Linked DNA regions of Coturnix japonica. Each later gene encodes a partner of the first gene's protein in a complex. Links are inferred from orthologs where the notes say so. Each region holds a gene or a part of one and is shown on either strand. Other genes may lie near its edges.

Evidence for each region.
Region 2: the proteins of MAD2L1 (region 1) and MAD2L1BP are in contact, whole or in part, in a crystal structure (PDB 2QYF), measured with the Homo sapiens proteins. The link is inferred for Coturnix japonica from reciprocal best matches to the Homo sapiens genes MAD2L1 and MAD2L1BP. Residues at the interface, in NP_002349.1 of Homo sapiens: Tyr33, Arg45, Thr52, Leu54, Lys122, Asp126, Glu127, Arg129, Ser130, Arg133, Gln134, Thr136, Ala137, Thr138, Thr140, Phe141, Leu142, Leu144, Glu179, Val181, Arg182, Leu183, Arg184, Tyr199, Asp205; in NP_055443.1 of Homo sapiens: Pro61, His79, Tyr82, Gln83, Gln85, Pro88, Leu89, Pro90, Gln93, His96, Ala185, Leu187, Arg188, Phe191, Arg192, Phe195, Asp198, Ala199, Phe200, Ser201, Glu202, Leu203, Gln204, Ala205.

Annotation. Positions count from the first base shown.
Region 1 is NC_029519.1:48,824,428-48,833,382, forward strand, and holds MAD2L1 (mitotic spindle assembly checkpoint protein MAD2A), read left to right. Parts: upstream 1-2,969; 5' UTR 2,970-3,031; coding exon 3,032-3,107; intron 3,108-3,266; coding exon 3,267-3,413; intron 3,414-3,501; coding exon 3,502-3,622; intron 3,623-5,022; coding exon 5,023-5,126; intron 5,127-5,713; coding exon 5,714-5,886; 3' UTR 5,887-6,334; downstream 6,335-8,955. Other genes in the region: RPL7L1 (60S ribosomal protein L7-like 1), read right to left, coding at 8,018-8,226, 8,459-8,568. UniProt on the Homo sapiens protein: Component of the spindle-assembly checkpoint that prevents the onset of anaphase until all chromosomes are properly aligned at the metaphase plate.
Region 2 is NC_029518.1:27,746,171-27,755,117, reverse strand, and holds MAD2L1BP (MAD2L1-binding protein), read left to right. Parts: upstream 1-3,077; 5' UTR 3,078-3,121; coding exon 3,122-3,427; intron 3,428-3,669; coding exon 3,670-4,200; 3' UTR 4,201-5,827; downstream 5,828-8,947. Other genes in the region: GTPBP2 (GTP-binding protein 2), read right to left, coding at 394-420, 1,907-2,089; epoxide hydrolase 1-like, read right to left, coding at 5,919-6,120, 7,043-7,162, 7,481-7,589. UniProt on the Homo sapiens protein: May function to silence the spindle checkpoint and allow mitosis to proceed through anaphase by binding MAD2L1 after it has become dissociated from the MAD2L1-CDC20 complex.

The DNA.
Region 1 (8,955 bases):
TGTTCATCAATTAAGTTGGCTTTAGCGTAACAACAGCAAAAGGTAAATCAAAACAGTTATTTTTCATCCAGTGTTAGATAAGGAGCTCCATTCAAAGATGTTTTGGTACTGTCAATCTATGTTATCATTTCAAATACAAGTACCAACACCTATGCGGTAGTAGATATCTGCTTCCTCCAAAGCAGAGAAACGTTGAAAGAATTATTATGTAAACAAAAGTGACAGCTTATGTATACAGTTCATATTCCATAAATTATAGAAACTAAACTAGAAAGAAATGACACGCATTAATGCCCCATGTTAACTGCTGAATAAATATGCATGATTCTATAGACATGCTCATACAATCAATGAAGGTGCACCTTCACAAAATGCCTTACCATGAGAAAAAACTTTCATTGTGCCACAAATACGCTTGATTTTTCCCCACAGTCAATGAAAAAAGTCTTATAAAAATACCAGTGTTTGCATTTATAAAGAATACTTATATACAATTAGAACTATACCCACAATGTATTAATGTGCCCCCTGGCTTCTCAAAGGCTTGTCAGTGCCAATATGTGTACATATGCGCTAGCTCTCGGTGTTCAGAACAAGACTGATATACCGTGGAAGAAGCTCTCACTTTATGTATGAAATGTGCCACATGTACCAGACATAACGATATTAAAATGATATTACAATGGGAAACACCCATGCATAGACAAAAAGACTTCAGTGCACACACTTTTTACATCTCTTAGAAAAGCAGCCTCTATAATCAAAAATATTTAGTTCAGAGGAAGAAAATTTACCTACAACTTGCAGGGTGCAGGCAGGAAAATAAGCATACAGAGTTAAAAAAAAATAAACAAATCTTCATACAGTTGATTTCTATCACGAACTTTATTTTCTGATTTCAGACCAAGTATCTCCTTCATTCTGGAACACGTTTTAAGAACTGGCAAAGAAATGCATCTAAAATTCGTCTAAACTCAAGTACTCGGTAAAACAAACTCGCTGCAGTTCAAGACTAAACTGAAAGGATGCAAATAATTCATGTGCCTGGTGCCATCTCCTGGTAGCTTAGAGATAAAACCATCAGAACACTGAATGCTGTTTCGCAATAGTAGCTTTTTAAACTCCCCAAATTCACAAAAGCTGTTTCACTAGACAAGAAGGCCACTATCAAGACATAGCTTCATTCATGCTAAATGATGTTTTCACATCGGATTAACACTTGCATAACGAAACGGAGATTGTAAATGGCTGGGCTGGTTCAGGAAAAGCCTTTAGCCAGGAACAACCCACACATCGTTCCCTCCCATAGCACACAGAACTAAGCAGATATAATAAAAAAGTAGCAATTTCACTAGAAACCGTGGAAGTTCAGCTAATTGAGAAGGGCCTCAGCCCACCAGGAGTTAAGACAGCATCCAACACAGGATCTACAAATACCACAATATGGACTGAGGGAGAAAGGGAGCAAAAAGTCAACAAACAAGCTCAACACTCACCATCAGTATTAGGCACAGACAGTTTCAGATGGGCAGCATTATAAACCCCCAAAGGCAACTCAAAACAATATGCAGAAAATAAGAGGGATGAAGGTTAAAGTACTAGTTCTATGTGCTAGTAAGTAGAGAAGCTCCCCCTAAAGTGGGGAAGGAAATAAAGGAGCTTGAGATCTACCAGAACAGGAGAACTAGAGCTCTGTTACCCACAGTAAGATTTCCTTCCTCTGCACAGGAAGAACTGGATTTTGCTGAGACTTAATATGACAATTTGTTAATGTGATAAGAGGGCTTTTATAACAAACAGGACTTTTATTCTACAGACTGTTTTATTCTGCTGGCAGGAGAGACCTGTCCACAACGACCCGAGGGTTAAAAAACTAAACAAGAACAAAAATAAAAGCCCCAAACCTGGGAAGGAACTTTACACATGGATTATTTCTTCTTGTCTGCTGAATGACTACAGGAGCATGACTAGAGTTGCCTTAAAAAATTTGCAGGAGCAGCAGTGATCTGGATTGTCACAGGTTCATTAACAATGGCCATGGGGAAGCAATCATTAAATGTTGCAGAAAAGCCAAGATAAATAGGGGATGTTTAATTCCACAAAAAGAGAATAATAAATATATATATGTGTGTGTCATATCAAAATGTAATTGAGAAACACAGCAATGACTAAAGAATCATAAGAGAACCAAATTAAATGCAACTGGGATTTCACATTCCTTCTGAAAATTAAGGCTTTAGCATGAGATAATTAAAGCAAGGACGGCCAACTCGTGATGTGCCAGAACGTATAACTCAGTCTGTCATCTGCATTGCCGAGTCCCCGCGAGCTGCTCAGGAAGCGGGCTGTCAGACACACCGCTCCCTCACCCACAGCACTATCCCCACTGCTCCCCGTGACAGCCCCACAGCCTCCTGCTTGTCACGCAGCTGGACATGCCCTAAATGTGAACTACAGGCATCAGCAGCACATGGAAAAGCTCCTCATCCGCCTCTGCCAAAACACGGAGAAACCAATTTGTGTTGAAGCAGATCAGCTACCTGCAACGGGAGACCCTTAAGAATCCACCAGAGCGCTGAGGAGCCGCACTTCGCTTCTATGAGCGCTGGGTTTGTCTATTCCACCGGGTCTAACTACAATGGCGCAGCGGAGGCGGCTCGTAGGGAACCTCGGAGGGAGAAAAGCACGAGAAAATCCCAGAGTGGGAAAGGAAGGGCTCTGAGAGCGCTCTGGGACGGGAATAGCGCAGGGGCTGAAGGAGAATAGCGGGTATTAACAGCAATCCGACTGCTAAACGCTGAGCGGGGCGGCTTTCGTACTGAGCACAACCAGAAATAGCCCAGAGAAGAGGCAGCACCTCCATAAGGACACACGCACCCAACGGCACCTGACGGGACGCACCCACACACCGCAAACCCCGCCCGCCAACGGCCGCACCCCGCGCATGCGCAGCACGGCATCCCGCCTGCTCAGCCCTCGCAGTCGGCCGGAAGGGGCGGGGCGTGATTTGAAGCGGGCGGCGGGCACCGCCATGGCCGCGCAGCTGGGCCGCGAGCAGCAGGGAATCACCCTGCGGGGCAGCGCGGAGATCGTCGCCGAGTTTTTCTGTAAGGGGCTGCGGGCCGCCCAGGGGTGCGGGGAGACGGGGGCGGGTTGGGGGGAAAAAGGCGGGCGGGCGGCTGGCTCTAATGCCGCGGCCGACATGGCCGCCTGTAGGGCGGGAGGGGTGGCCCCCTTACAGAAGCCTCCCCGCTTTGTGCGCGCAGCTTATGGCATCAACAGCATCCTGTACCAGCGGGGCATCTACCCCCCTGAGACCTTCACCCGCGTCCAGAAGTACGGCCTTACCCTGCTCGTCACCACCGACCCCGAGCTGAAGAACTACCTCAACAACGTGGTGGAGCAGATGAAAGGTGAGACCTGCCCCCCCCCGCTTCCCGTCCCCTTTTCTCCTTCCCCTTTTTCTCATACAGCCGTAGTAAATGCTGCGGCCTCTTCCAGAGTGGCTTTATAAGTGCACCGTGCAGCGCCTGGTGGTGGTCATCTCCAGCATTGAGAACAATGAGGTACTGGAGCGGTGGCAGTTTGACATTGAATGTGACAAGAGCGCCAAGGGTGAAAGGTGAGTGACAGCGTTTCTGTGCCTGCTTCTCCCTGTTGGGAGACACAAGGGAAAGACCAAGTATGGTAGTGCTACCTCTGTAACCTAAGAGCTATCTGACGTTACCAAATAAAGCTGTGGGTGCCATTGATGTGCTCCAGGGACTGGATGCAATCCAGGGGGACCTGAACAGGCTGAGCAGTGGGCCCAAGTGAGCTTCATGTGATTCCACAAAGCTAAGAGCAAGGTATTATACCTGGGTTGGGGCAACCCCTGCTTTCAGTACAATCTGGGGGACATAAGAATGGCGCACAACCCTGCTGAAAAGGTCTTGGTGGCAAGCTGGACATGAAGCCTGAAATCATAGAATTACCCAGGTTGGAAAAGACCTTGAACATCATCAAGTCCAACCGCAGCCTAACCAGTACCCTGACTCTAAAAACCCTACACTAAATCATATCCCTGAGTAGGGATATGACCTAACAGCCCAGAAAGCCAACTGTATCCAGGGCCACATCCAAAGAATTGTGCATGGTCAGCAGGGTAAGGGACGTTATCCTGCCTGTATGCTCTGCGCTGGTGAGCCATCACCTGGAGTACTGCATCCAGATTGAGAATTCTCAGTACAGGAGAGACATGGAGCTGTTGGAGTGTGTCCAGAGGAGGGCCACAAAAATGGTCCCAGGGACAGAACAACTCTCCTGTGAGGATAGTCTGAGAGAGCTGAGGTGTTTAGCCTGGGGAAGGCTTAGGGGAGACCAGAGAGCAGCCTTTCAGTATTTTGAGGGGGGGCTATGTGAAAGAAGCTGACAGACTTGTCAGGGCACAGGGTGTGATAAGAGTGAAGTGTTTCGCTAAAAGAAGTGAGGTTTAGATTGGATATAAGGAGGAAATAAGTTTTTTGGCTTGTTTTTGTTTGTTTGTTTCTTTTTTTACAATAAGAGTGGTGAGGCACTGGCACAGTTCATCCAGAGTAGTAGTAGATTCCCCATCCTTGGAGCCACTCAAGGTCAGGCTGGCAGGACTGAGCAATCTTGTGGATCTGTAGGTGACTGTTTATTGCAGGAGAGTTGGAATACATAACAATTAGAGGTCCCTTCCAACTCAAATGATTCCATCATTCAGTTATCAAAATGTTTTGTAATCTGCAACTGAACAAAGTCCTGTATTACTGCTCTTCTGCTGTTTTGCCAAAACTCTCACCCAACCCAGACAGCAAATATGTCCTTAAAAACACTGCGAGGTTTCACAAACAACAAATTGAAAGTTACAGTTTTGTGAGCCTAAGGCTTGAAAGAATGCTTCTGCATAACCATACAGCAAACATACCCCACAGCAGTGCAGCAAGAACTGTGTTTAAAGAAAGCTGTCAGTATTGGAGGTGCAAGTTGTTTTCTTAAAGAGTTTTCTCATTTTTCCAGCGCACCCCGAGACAAATCTCAGAAAGCCATTCAGGATGAAATTCGATCTGTTATCAGACAAATCACTGCCACGGTAACTTTTCTGCCTCTCCTGGAAACTGCCTGTGAGTATTTGTAACTTCTCCGAAAGAAATGACACTTCTTTCAGAAAGCCTGAACTAGCATTTGATTGTAGAAAATCTTTTCCACTATTCTGTTTTTATTATTATTATTTGAAGTGTCATGTATTGCATTTCTGGGTATATGTTTGGTTAGACCAAGACAGTCTCAGCTATGTACAGTATAGAAGCAGCATCAGATAAAGTACTCTAAGTATTGTCCTGTACTGCTTCTTGTACAACAAACTGAAAAAGAACTGCTACTGTAAATACTGTGCTCTCTTTCAATCAAGCACTTGGAGCAACTTCATTGGAAGTTAAACTCTTAAACTCGTTTTTTCCCCAAAAGGTGCAATTCAAGGTGATTTAAGTAGCTTGAAGAAACTTGGTGTATCTGAGGACCTACAGCTGTCATAAATATTGCGACTACAGGAATGATAACTAGTATTTGTTTTCATTCCTTTAACTGCCATTTCTTTTTCTATAGATGCCATAACTACTGATAACCTTCTTGCATGTCTCCATGCGTTTTAACTTCAATTATGGTATCATTCCTATGTGTGTAGCATTAACTTTTTCCCACCTGCTTACAGGTGCCTTTGACTTGCTGATTTACACAGATAAAGATTTGGTAGTGCCAGAAAAGTGGGAAGAGTCAGGACCACAATTCATTGCCAATTCAGAAGAGGTTCGTCTTCGTTCCTTCACTACCACGATCCATAAAGTCAACAGCACGGTGGCTTACAAAAAGGATTCTTTTCCTTAAAACTGTTTCTTGTACATATCCTGTCCTCTTGTATAGTGTCTGTTCATAGAGCAGCTATGTTGTGAACACATGATTGCTCTTGCTGAATGTGCAGTATTGTGCCTGATAATGTGGTGTAACACTAGATTAAGGTGGCACTGTTTGAAGAGCTCTGAGGTGTTCATGACAGTATTAGGCCTGTTTTTCATGCAAGGTCTGGATTTCATGACCAGAAATAATCCATATCTAATCCCAAGATTAATTCTAAAGTTTTTACCATAAAAGCAGCTGATGAGCAGGAAAAGGCCCGAACAGATGAAACACAGCATTTTGAAGAACATGAGACTGCAGTTCTGGAGAGGGTGCTGTTCTGCATCAGTGTGTCTTGTCCTTCTTCAGCAGCTGCACAGCATTTTCTATGTCTGTATTCTTGTTTTATGGAATAAACCTTGAAACTGTATAGAGTTCTCCTAGTCACAGAATGTGGGAATTTGTATTTTAGATGTTAGAATTCTGTATAGCAGCAGTTCAGGCTAATGCCGCAAGTACCTCAGTCACAAATCAAGTGCTTTTGTCAACGTGAAATCCATGAAACTATTCATTAATTGTAGTTTGTCCCCACTCGTGCCTAATACTGTTTGTGGATGATTAGTGATGACTCTATCAATTTTGCGGAATGGTCCTGTAAGATCACCTGGTTTCAACCCCTGCTACAGGCAGGGACACCTACATCTCGATCAGGTTGCTTAAAGCCTGTCCCAGCTCCCTTCCAGGGAGGAGGCATTTACAACCTCACAGGGCAACCTGTTCCAGTGTCTCACCGCCCACACAGTGAAGAGTCTCTTCCCAATATTTAGTTTAATATTACCCTTTTACATCTTAAAGCCATTTCCTCTTGTCTTGTCACTACATGCCCTTATAAAAAGTAATTCCCCCTCTTTCCTGCAGGCCCCCTTTAGGTACTAGAAGGCTGCTATCAGGTCCCCCCCCTGGAGCCTTCTCCAGTGTGAAGAGCCTTAATTCCCCATAATCATTAAGCACAGCGTTGCCTTCTAAATTAGTATCAGACAACAGGCCAGCTGAAGAAGCTCCATAAAAAAAATTTACACTAGCATACACTGCTTTCAGCATTCCCAACAGTCACACTGGAGTTACTTAGTACTTAAGCACTTATGGTTTGACTGATACACGAGTGGTACAATACTATCATTTAAAAAGAGTTTATTTTAAAACTATTGATTTTGTAATATTGCTGCAGAGTGTAAATAATGGGCTTTCCTACCAGGAAATATCCATCCCCACAGCAGTCCCATTTTAGAATATTAGAAAGACACTATATAAACCAGTAAGACAAATCATACTGCAGCTAGACTGTATTTAACAGAGGAATAAGCCTAGTACTTCCCTCTGCCTGTCAGTGGTGTTGTTAAGCAGCTGACTGCACTACCTGCTTACACCTAGAAGTAGGTGCGCTTTAAACAGTAAAGTGCAATTTTAAGCACTTCCCTTGGGGAGGACTGGATCAAAGCAATGGTTGCTGTTCCCTTGTAACAAATTTACATCAGAGAATGCCAACGCGTGCTTCATAGCAAAGGTGAGAGGGTGGACTGGTACAGTGCCAGCAGTAAAAGGTACTGAAAACAAAGATAAAAAATCCAACGCCTTAAAAAAAAATCAGATTGCTCCAGAAAGTTCAAGTCATTTCGTTTTTTGCACCAAATAAAGTTTCTTTCTCAAGGACCAGCCCGGAGTGCAGCTTCATCACCTGGATTTTGTTGGCTTTCTTTACCTTCTTTTTTAAAGGTAGCAATAGACAAGAGATGTAGTATATCATTGTAGAGAGCCCAGGTCCATGAAAATTACATGTGAAAAAGAGCAGGTTCTAAGTCCTGGTGTTTTTGCAGAGACTGCAGAACAGAAAAGAAAGAAAGAAAAAAATTACCAGTCATTTGAACACATTTTTCCCAGCAATCCAAAAATCAATGGATTTGGAATAGCCCACTAGCACCAATAGCTAATGCAACCCATGATCTCTAGTTTTCTCTGAGACTGTGAGGGTCACCATAATATATAAACTCGCGTCTTTGATGGCAATACAGTTAATCTTAGGAAGCCAGATAATAAGGATTTAAAATGTACATTCCTCACCTGTCTAGTTCAGCTGCCGTATAAGCTGGTTGATTCCTTCACCTCTGCAGCCAGGCTTACCCATCTCCTTGAGAAACCCCACTTTATTACGTGCAGCATAGCGGGCCACTGACAGCTGGAACGGCCATAGGAAGTCTGAGACATTTCTGAAGTACTTCCCAGCTGAGTAGATTTCATGAATAAGGTCTTCCAGGCAAATAATACCACAGTTCCCTGCAGGAAAAAATAACCGCAAAGTACAATGAACAAGACATGCAACACGCAGCAGACACACACCACCCATAGAGATGTGCAGCTATTCCTTCACACAACCAAGAATCCCCAGATCTCTATATAAAAGTCTTGCACAATTTTTCCTCCCTCCCTTTTCTCTAAGGTCAGACTGCAAACTCTCAACATCTCCCTTAACCACAGCTTCACTTTGTTTTCTTATCTTACATCTTACCTAAATGTTCCTCTATCAACATATTGTCCGTCAGAGGTACCCTCTTCTTGTTAACCTTTCCTTGGCCCCGTTTCAGAATGAGCTCTCGTACAGATTTCAGATTAGGATACCTGCACAAAAACAAGAAATCAGACTAAAAAGTGGAGAGTCCCACTCTATTGCTTCACACTGAAGTTGGGAAGTAGCCATAGTAGCTTTAGAGTGATAAATATCAACAAGTTTTAGATGTGAAGTCAGTGAATTTTTGACCACTTACTGGAGAAGGCAGCTACAAATCAGAAAGCCATGATATTTACAAATTTACATGGCCTCAAGCTGCGCCAGGGCAAGTTTAGGTTGGATATTAGGAAGAACTTCTTTACAGAAAGGGTAGTTAAGTATTGGAATAGGCTCCTCAGGGAGGTGGTTGAATCGCCATCCCTGGTTGTATTTATGAGCCGTTTGGATGTGGTGCTCAGGGATATGATTTAGTGGAGGGTTTTTAGAGTTAGGGTTCT
Region 2 (8,947 bases), on another chromosome or scaffold:
GGAATGCTAAGAGAGTGTTTCACAGGGATGCGTGCATATGGCAGCAGAGCATTTCTGCACCTTCCCAAAGGGTCTGTACTCTGCCTGCTGGGGGGTAACAGCACCATGGGACCTATTTGTGATACATGAGCCAAGCGTGATTAGCAGAACAGCCACAAACCGAGTGATAAATGATTATCAGGGACACCTACAGCTGTCAATATGAGCTCAAACTCTTCCAGCTCAGACACTGGGTATCTCTGGGCACTCAGAAGATGACTGACTGTTCCTTCCTTAGTACAGTGTCTGTCTTTCTGTCCACATGGGCACGTTCCCCACACACTGTCTTTCCTGGAGTTATTTGTTGTGAGACAACTCTGCGAAGAAACCCTCCTACCCCCACAAAAGGCTCACCTTGTACTCGATGTTACCATCTTCTGCCTGGTCAGAGAACAAAACAAAACAGAATGGTTAGATGCTGTGCCAGCAGGGATTTCTATAGGCATCAGCTGAAAAGATACTCTCTACTGCTTGCATTGGCTATTTCAGAGAGGGAAAACTGCAGAAATTTATTGTTAGATTACAGTCTATTCTGCTGTTCATTCCCACACTCAACTAGAACGTACTTGAGGTTTCTTTTTGCTGTTTACATCACATATAACGAAAAACAAGGGATAAAAGTAGAATATAACACAGAAGGGTAGCGCTGCCACCTTCTTGTTTGTTTAACTTGTCCACAAAAAACAGGGCCAGTCACACAGAGTTCCAGGCTCAAAAGAGCCACTTCCCACACTGCAGAGCACACCATCCCAACCTTCTGTCCACTCAGTGCACACCAAGTTGTTTTAGAGCCTAAACCAGAAAGGCCCATAGAGTCATCGACCACAACAGGCTCCAGCTTCCAAAGAGAACGTATAGTCTAAACTGAAGTAACTTCAGCACTGATTTGGTCTAAGGAGCCTTTAAGAAGCCACGTACTCTGGCAGACTAAGTTGAGCTGCCAACTCTAAGCACTTGCTTTACCTCTGGACACCAATTTGCGTGTCAAGAGAGGCAACAGTCCTCTCCCTGCCTTCTAGCTGAGCTTCTAACCACAGTGGAGCTTATGGTGGCGGAAGGCCAACAGAGGGAAGTTCCAAGCTGCCAGCTCGGCACTTGGGAAGCAGAGCTATGCAGCGAGGGAAGGCTATGTGCAGGAGGTTTTACTCTTTTGCTATTTAAGAAAAATATTGCGTTCACATTCTGTGCTGTCCTCTAAACAAGGGGGTCGGTCTGTTCTGAGGCAGCTGAGCCTAGAGGAAAGCAACACACTAGACTGGGGCGGCCAAGGACAGGAAGCCGTGCTGAAACCACAGGGGCCGTGCAGCCTCCAGCTGAAGGGAAGCAAAACTGAACTGCAGCTGCAGGGGACAATCCTGCCCACCGACAGGATCTCACACAGCCGAGCTGAGCTCCTTCCTCGCTATAGCCCGGTGTGGGGAATGCCCCTTCCCGGCACAGACTGCGATAACTTACAGAGAGCTCGGCCAGCAGTGCTGAGCAGTGTTCTGCGGGACAATGTATTAATGCTCTCCGCCCAGTTTGCTCACAGCTGTGCCAACCAACCTGCACTGACCCACACACCCCTCAAGTACCACCAGCAGCTTTTCCAGCTGCAAGAGGCAAATACCATCACCGAGATCGCTCCCTCCGAGCCCGCCGGCACCCGCCGCATCCCGGCGTACGACAACACCGCCTCCCCGAGCCGTGCCGGTACCGTGCCGTGCCGAGCTCCGTTCTGTATCCCGGAGCCGGGGATCCCCCGCAGCGCTGCCCCGAGCTCCCCCTCATTCCCACCCCGGCCCCGCGGCGCACAAAGCCGCCCCCCCGTCCCGTCCATCCCGTCGTGCGGCGCTGACAGGCCCCGTGTCGCCCCCCGCCGTGTCACCTCAGGCGGCAGGTACGGCGGGTTGTTGGCCTTGCCCCCCCGGCTCCGCCCGTTCTTCTTCTTCGCCTTCGAGCCGCCGCCGCCGCCGCCGCCGCCGCCGGGCGCGGCCCCTCCGCGTCCTCGCAACGCGGCTCCGTTGGGCCGGCAGCAGCCCCCGAACAGCTCCGACACCCGCGGATCCATGGCGGCCGCTGAGGCCCCGCCGCCCGCCGCCGTTCCCGCTGTCCCCGCTCCCCGCCCGGGCTCCCCTCCGCCCCGGCCCCCGCCGTCAGCGAGCCGCCGCAAGGCACCACGGGAAACGGAGTCCACGGCGCCACCCGCCTACGATTCCCAGCACGCACCGCGCCGCGCCCCTCTCGGGACTGCTGCTCCCGACGTGCCCCGCGGCGCTACCCGCAACGTCCTCTATGGGTTCCCTTCGCAAGGGCGGATGGGAGTTGAAGTCCCGTGCGGGCGGCGCCCCCTGGCGGCCATGGAGCTCGGGGTGCCCCGGTGCTCTCCGTTACGGGACGGGGCGCTCCAGCACACGGATATTGGCACCGGGGGCGGGAAGCCGGGGCGCTTTACAACATGTCTGGCAGCAAAACTACCCAGTAAAGGCGGAGAAACGGCACCACGTACGTGACAATTCACGCAGACACCGCAGCTCCTTCCGACGGGGCTCACAACGACAGCGCCGGGCTCGGCCCCCATGTGCCGTGCCAGCAGCACCCCGCTATTCACCCCGCACCCGGGGCACGGCGCCGCCGTGTCCGTGTCTGCCAACACGCTGTGGGAGGCCCGTGGCGGGCAGCGCCCAATGGGGCCGCGGACACGTTGTTTCCAAACACGGCCGCTCCCCCTCCACCCCGGCCGGGTGCCCGCCTCCTCCTCCTCCTCCTCCTCCTCCTCCTCGCTGCGGCGCTGCTGCTCCTGCCCAACAGCGCCCGGGGCGATGTGAGGCGGGGAGTTGTGCAGGGCCGGCCCCCATCACCGCCGTGCCCCCTCCCCGCAGCGCTGCGGGCGGGCTGTGGGACAGGGCACAGCCCCGCTGTCCCGGCCGCTGGGGGGCGCTCTTCTGCTGTTCTGCTGCGCAGGGCTGGCTCCTAGCGCCCTCCCCCCATCCAACATGGCGCCCGCTCTCCGGAAGCCGCGCAGTGGTCGCTCCCCCGCTCCCATGGTGCCCCGCGGCGGCGGCCATTCAAATTGCAGCGGGCGGACAGCGCCGCTCACAAAATGGCCGCGCCGGGAGGGACGCGGTCGCCCGGTGTGGCGGCTGCGGCGGCTCCGTGTAGTCCGCCCTCCCCGCTCCTCACGGCGGAGACGCCGCCAGCCCCGGAGCGCGGCCGCGTTGGGAGGAGGTCCCGGCGGAGCGCACCGACGGCTCTGAGCCCCGCCGTGTCCGTGGTGTTCCCGGGCTCCGTGAGCCGAGAGAGCTGCTGCCGCTTCGCCTGCGAGCTGCTGAAGCACGTCCTGCACCAGCGGCAGCAGCTCCCGCTGCCCTACGAGCAGCTCGCATACTTCTGCCAGCGGGCCGCGCAGGTGGGGGGCGGCATTGCCTTGGGGGGGGGGGGGGCGTTTAAAAGCCGCAATTGCAGCGCCTTCACTCGTTGTCCAACGTGTCCCCTTCTAGAAACCTGTAGGCTCCAAGCTCAAATGTTGCCTTCTGCACGTTGCTCCATCGTGGATGGAGGAGGGGATGCACCATACTTTATGAAGAGTGAATCAGGACCCTCTCCAATCTTTTTTACTTGTATTAATGTCTCTTTTGTTCTGGTTTGCAGGATGGAGATGTGATCAAGAAGCCGTCCTCTGTGGGCCTGGCAAGCAAGAAGTGCCAGCAGGTGCTGGTGGAGCTGGAGGGAGTGTTCCAACAGTTGGAAGTGATGTTCAGCTTGACGCTGGTTCCCCGTGTTCTTATTCTGCTCGGTGGCAATGCTGTGAGCCCCAAGGAGCTTTACGAGCTCAACTTGGAGGGGATCTGTGTGGGCAGCGCTGAGAAAAGCCTGAAAACCACATCCTGCGTACGTAAGCTTTTTCACTCGCTCTTCATTGCAGATGTCTTCAGTGAACTCAAAGCTCTTCCCGTCACGGGCACTGTTGTTATGCTCCAAGGGCATCGCAATTGTGGTGCGGAATGGTTCCGGCCCAAGCTCAACTACAAAGTGCCAACCCGAGGAAGGAAACTGACTATTAATTTGTCCTGTGATGGAGACGTTGATACAAGTGCCTCAGCTCCTCAGACTCTGACTTCTGCTTGGGAGGACTACATATGGTTTCAAGCACCAGTGACGCTCAAGGGCTTCCATGAATGATCTGCGCTCTATAGAACTTTAATGGGATATTGAATATTTTTTGGTGCTGCTTTAGGCAATAATCCTATCAAATATAATGGCACACTCTTGTCTCTCTGGATCTCTTCTCTAGGACATCTGTTGCCTTCCTGGACCACCTTCTTCCATGTTCACCTCCTGACTTGTCATTGAAAGCAAATGCCCTTTAAGGCACAGTTGCATACAGATATAGTGATTCCTTAAGGAGATTAATTGATATATTGGGTGTAAAAACTTCCCTGTGACATGCTTGCTGAACTGACAAATATCGGGTACAGTCCTTCTGTGTTTTACTCTCCTGAGTTTTACTGCAGCCATTTCTGTTAATGATTACTGCATTTTATGATCATTTGGGACAAGATAACATATATGATTATTAACATAGCTGGCCATTACTGTGAAGGCCATAACCAGTCTTTACCTCACTGATGTGAAAAAAGACCTTTTCCTGCAGCCTACTCAGGTTTGAGTACTCAAGTGCTTGCCCATCTAGTAGATGATATATTTCTTCCCATAACATTGTTTCAGATTGTTAGGAATCCAGCATGGTGCCCTTTAGCAACTGGGAGACTTCATACCTAACACTGTGTCTTATATTGGTGATGAAATGAGGCTGAGTGGTCCTGTGAAGGCAAGGGAGCACATCTGCCTATTTCTTTACTAGTTTTTAGCCCATCAGACCTAACAATCAGATTGATATGTGATTAAAGTTAGGAGCAAGCAGTTTATTCTCTCCTTCCTATGAAGTTAGGACTCCTGCCTCAATGTTAAAGCTTATTCTCACTTAACAGAAAATAAAAGTGTCTTATTTGCTTTTGGGGCAGGGAGGAGAAACAAATGCCAGAACCAGATATCTGCTGGAGTTGTCTTGAGTCATCTGGATATGTCTCTGCCGTGTAATGAGTTAAACAGCTCCATCCATAAGAAGAGAATCTCTAAGCTGTTGGTAGTAAGGTTGCTTACTAGGTGCTAACAAAAGCTGTTTGATGGGGTGATAAAAATCATTTGAAAGGAGGTTGTTAAAGGGTGAGTTAACCCTCTGCACTCAGTGCATATTTTAAGCTTTTCTGACATTTTGGCAGTGAATAAGATTGTAAAACTGGAAGGAAATCAGTTTTTTTAAAGAACACTACAGGTGCATTTTTGCCTTGTTATCCATTGACAGCTAGTAAGTGCTAAAACTAGCTCTAAGGACTGCTGGAATAAGGAGAGCTGCCTTATGTGCAGCTGCTCACTTGAGAGTATAATCACAGGTCTCTTGAATGAAGTGTAACTCAAATGATTCCATAGGAGTGTTTGATATCCTCAGGACATCTAAGCCCTTTACATTTCCACCAAAGCTGCTTGAAGTGTCTATTTAAGTATGCTAAAGTTTCAGTATTTGAAGAAGGAACAAGGGGCCAATTCCTTTCTATCTCCTCCAGATGAGTGCAATGTAACTGCATTAAGTTGTTTACATATTCAATTATACTTGAATTATGAATGCAGCAGTGATACGGTGCCAGGAATAGAAGACAAGATGCTTTTTTTCATATGAAGAGCTTTAGAGTTAAACAAGTTTAATAGTTATCATCATCATTATCAAAATAAAATGGCTTCTGTGTTGTGATCGTATTGAGTTTATTTAATCCCTTAAAGTAAGGCTTCTGTGTGTGGCAGAACAACTTGCTTCCACTCTATACATGTATCTAAATTCAGGTTCATAGCCGCTCCACCTTTCTCACAAAGCGGATGATGTCTTGTGCCAGCAGCTTTGGTTCCTCAAAGGCAGCAAAATGTCCTCCACGTGGCATGTAAGAGTACTGGACGATGTTCTTGAAGGTCTTCTTTGCCCAGACCTGTGGTGTATGTGCTATCTCCTGGGGAAAAGCCGCAACAGCTGTTGGAACGTAAACTCCAACCCTAAAAAGACATTGATTAACAGTATTTTCAAGAAGAACTTCTCAAAGTCATTTAAAAACCTTCTGACTCACAGCTGTCACATGAGTTGAAGCAACTTCACCACAGCAACTCTTCTCATAGTTTGTACTCTGCTGAGGAGCTCCACTGGTGTTTGGATCTCCTTGAATTCAGAAGTGTTATATCTAAAGATGCACGAAATGAAGTCCCCTTTGTGCAGAGTTCAGTATTGAAATGTGTTGAAGCCACACCTCTGTGCCAAACTCCAAAGTGAGCTAACTCATGTTTGCTTTAGAATTCCTGGTACCAGTATAACCCCTATTGAGAGGGAAGGTGAACTGGTTCTGTCAGTCTACAGAGAACATGACTTTCTTTTGCTAAGATCAGTCACTTGCTGAGTTTTGCTTCCTGGTCACCCTCTCCTGCAGTCATCTCAAAGCTAGCAGCTGTTAAAGGTGTTTGGTTTCAAGTTCTGCTCTCCTGGAAGCTTGTTTCCTTGGAAAAAAATCACTTACTGCTTCTACAGTTTTTGCTTAACAGCTGTAGCTCATGGTTTATTCACCTGTAAATCATCTCCTTCCTGTTTAAACCTGTTCAAAATGCTTGTGATTTTCTGGTTTGTTCTTAGTGAACAAAGCCATGGATTACAGTTGTTTGTCCAGTAAGTCTATGGACCTGCTGTATTTTGAACACAGATCTGAATTAGCTCTGTTAAATGTTCTGCATTGTTTTGGCAACAAACCAACTTGTGTGAATCACAGGTTTAAAAGAAAAGCATCCCTTAACTATATCAATTGAAGATAACAAAAAAAAGCTTGCCTTTTATTTTTTTCCTAGTATAGGTTAAATTTGCAAGTGATCTGAATGCTTATACTGGTAAGTCTAATTTAATCTTGTTTCAGCACCCATCTTGCCACTTTGTTACCTGGCATCAGCCATAAAGTCCCGGGCAAAGTTCTCCTTGTAGTAGCGCATTGAGGGCACAATAGATGCTGTCACCCAGTAAATCATCACGTTGGTCAAAAGGTCATCCAGAGAGTACTTGCTAGTGTGAGAAAAAAAGATTCAATAGAACTGTGAGCTGTTTCTCAACATACTTTATTAGGCCTATGCTCTGATAAGCCATTGGTCCTCTGGTTCTCTACTCATTTTCAAGCAGCAAAACAATTTACATTCACGTGCCCAAAGCAGAGCAGTAGCTTGCAGGCAGCCCTCTATACGCTTAAACTCCTACTTACCTACTTGTAATCTTTCATCCTTAAAATTCAGCTTGCACTGGCCAGCCTTTTGTCTATCTCCTCATCAGTTATCATCAGGTGGTTGTTTTACAAGTTTTCTCACAGGATGACATTTGCTTTCTTACCTTTCCAAGCCTCCATCGTCTTTCTTCAGGAATGATTTATCTGTCCACGTAGAGAATTTCTCCAAAATATATGCAGCAAGCCCCACAGGGGAGTCATTCAGTCCACAACCTAATGCAAGCAAAGAGCAGCAGAGCTCTTATATTTGCATGGTGCTGAAGTACTTCAAAGTTCATCAGCTTTTGTATGATTTAAAGAGTGGAATACTGCATTACCTGTTCCTGCTATTAGAGAGCACTAACATGAGATAAATGTAGCATGTATGCACCAAGTTATCTTTGTAAAACAAGGATAGCGGTCACTCCATTAATGATGCTAAGGGTTGTATACCTTTATCTTAACTTTGTAGAAGATAACACACACTGCTGTTCCAATTTAAATTATGGACATAGCTAATTAAGTTTGTGCATTGGCACAATTTCCCCTGCAGTGTCAGGGTAATTTGCTATGGGCTGAAATCATGTAAGTGATTTTGACCAGCCAACAGTAGTTGAGGCCTAGATGTACCATCTAATGCATGATCCATATGGCAATGAACTGAGGGCTGGAAGCTGCCTCTCAACCATTGTATTAAACATCTGTGGATTACAAACTCAAAGAGTAGTCCTGTTTGCAGCTTGTTATTCAGCCTGTGCTGTAGCTTACATACTGCAAACTGTGCTGTGAGAAAAAAAAATATATAAGCTTGCTTTAAACCTGCCTGATGAGAGCTGCACTGACAAGGCAGTTATTCCTTGAAATTGAGTAGGGCCATACAAGGTTTCCTATTCTTTTTCTACACCCTTCTCTTGTAGTATGCCATGGAGTCCCTGCTTTTTTATTTATTGGTTTTAATTCCCCTATGGGTCAGAATCCTGGACTATATGCCACATTTGTATGGAAGCTGCCTGATCATTTCAGTATTCCTTTTTTTCTCTCCTTTCTGTATCCTTCTGGTTCTAAAACGTACATATAAAACAGGGCCAACAGGGATGCAATGAATTCCAAATATCCTTGTTTAATTCTTTGCCTCTTTTTGCTTTATTTGACAGACTGTAAAATGCTCTTGAACTCTGACTAAGCTGGCTGCATTTCAAAGAACTAGCCATGACTCATGGCTTTTCCCCCACGGCAGCAGCCAGACCAGAGCTGATTGTGATTTTCTTCCTCTAATTGCTTTGCACTTTGTTGACATCCAATCTTATAGGCCAGTTCAATTGGCAAGTCAATTAAATGTTTCTGCAACTCTGTGCAGTTATCTTTAGATTAAACCAAACCTTGGATAGCCATCAGTTTTTCACTTAACAATTAACTTTTCTCTGTAGAGAAATTAGGATCACACTGAAATGTGCTAACACAGATTTTTGTTATAACATCCCTTCCCCTGCAACTTGCTTATTCCCATGTTAACCAGTTATTAATCCATGAACTAAATCCTTTTCTTAAGGCACTTTTGTTTTTTGGGGAACAACAGGAATAGAACTTTGTAC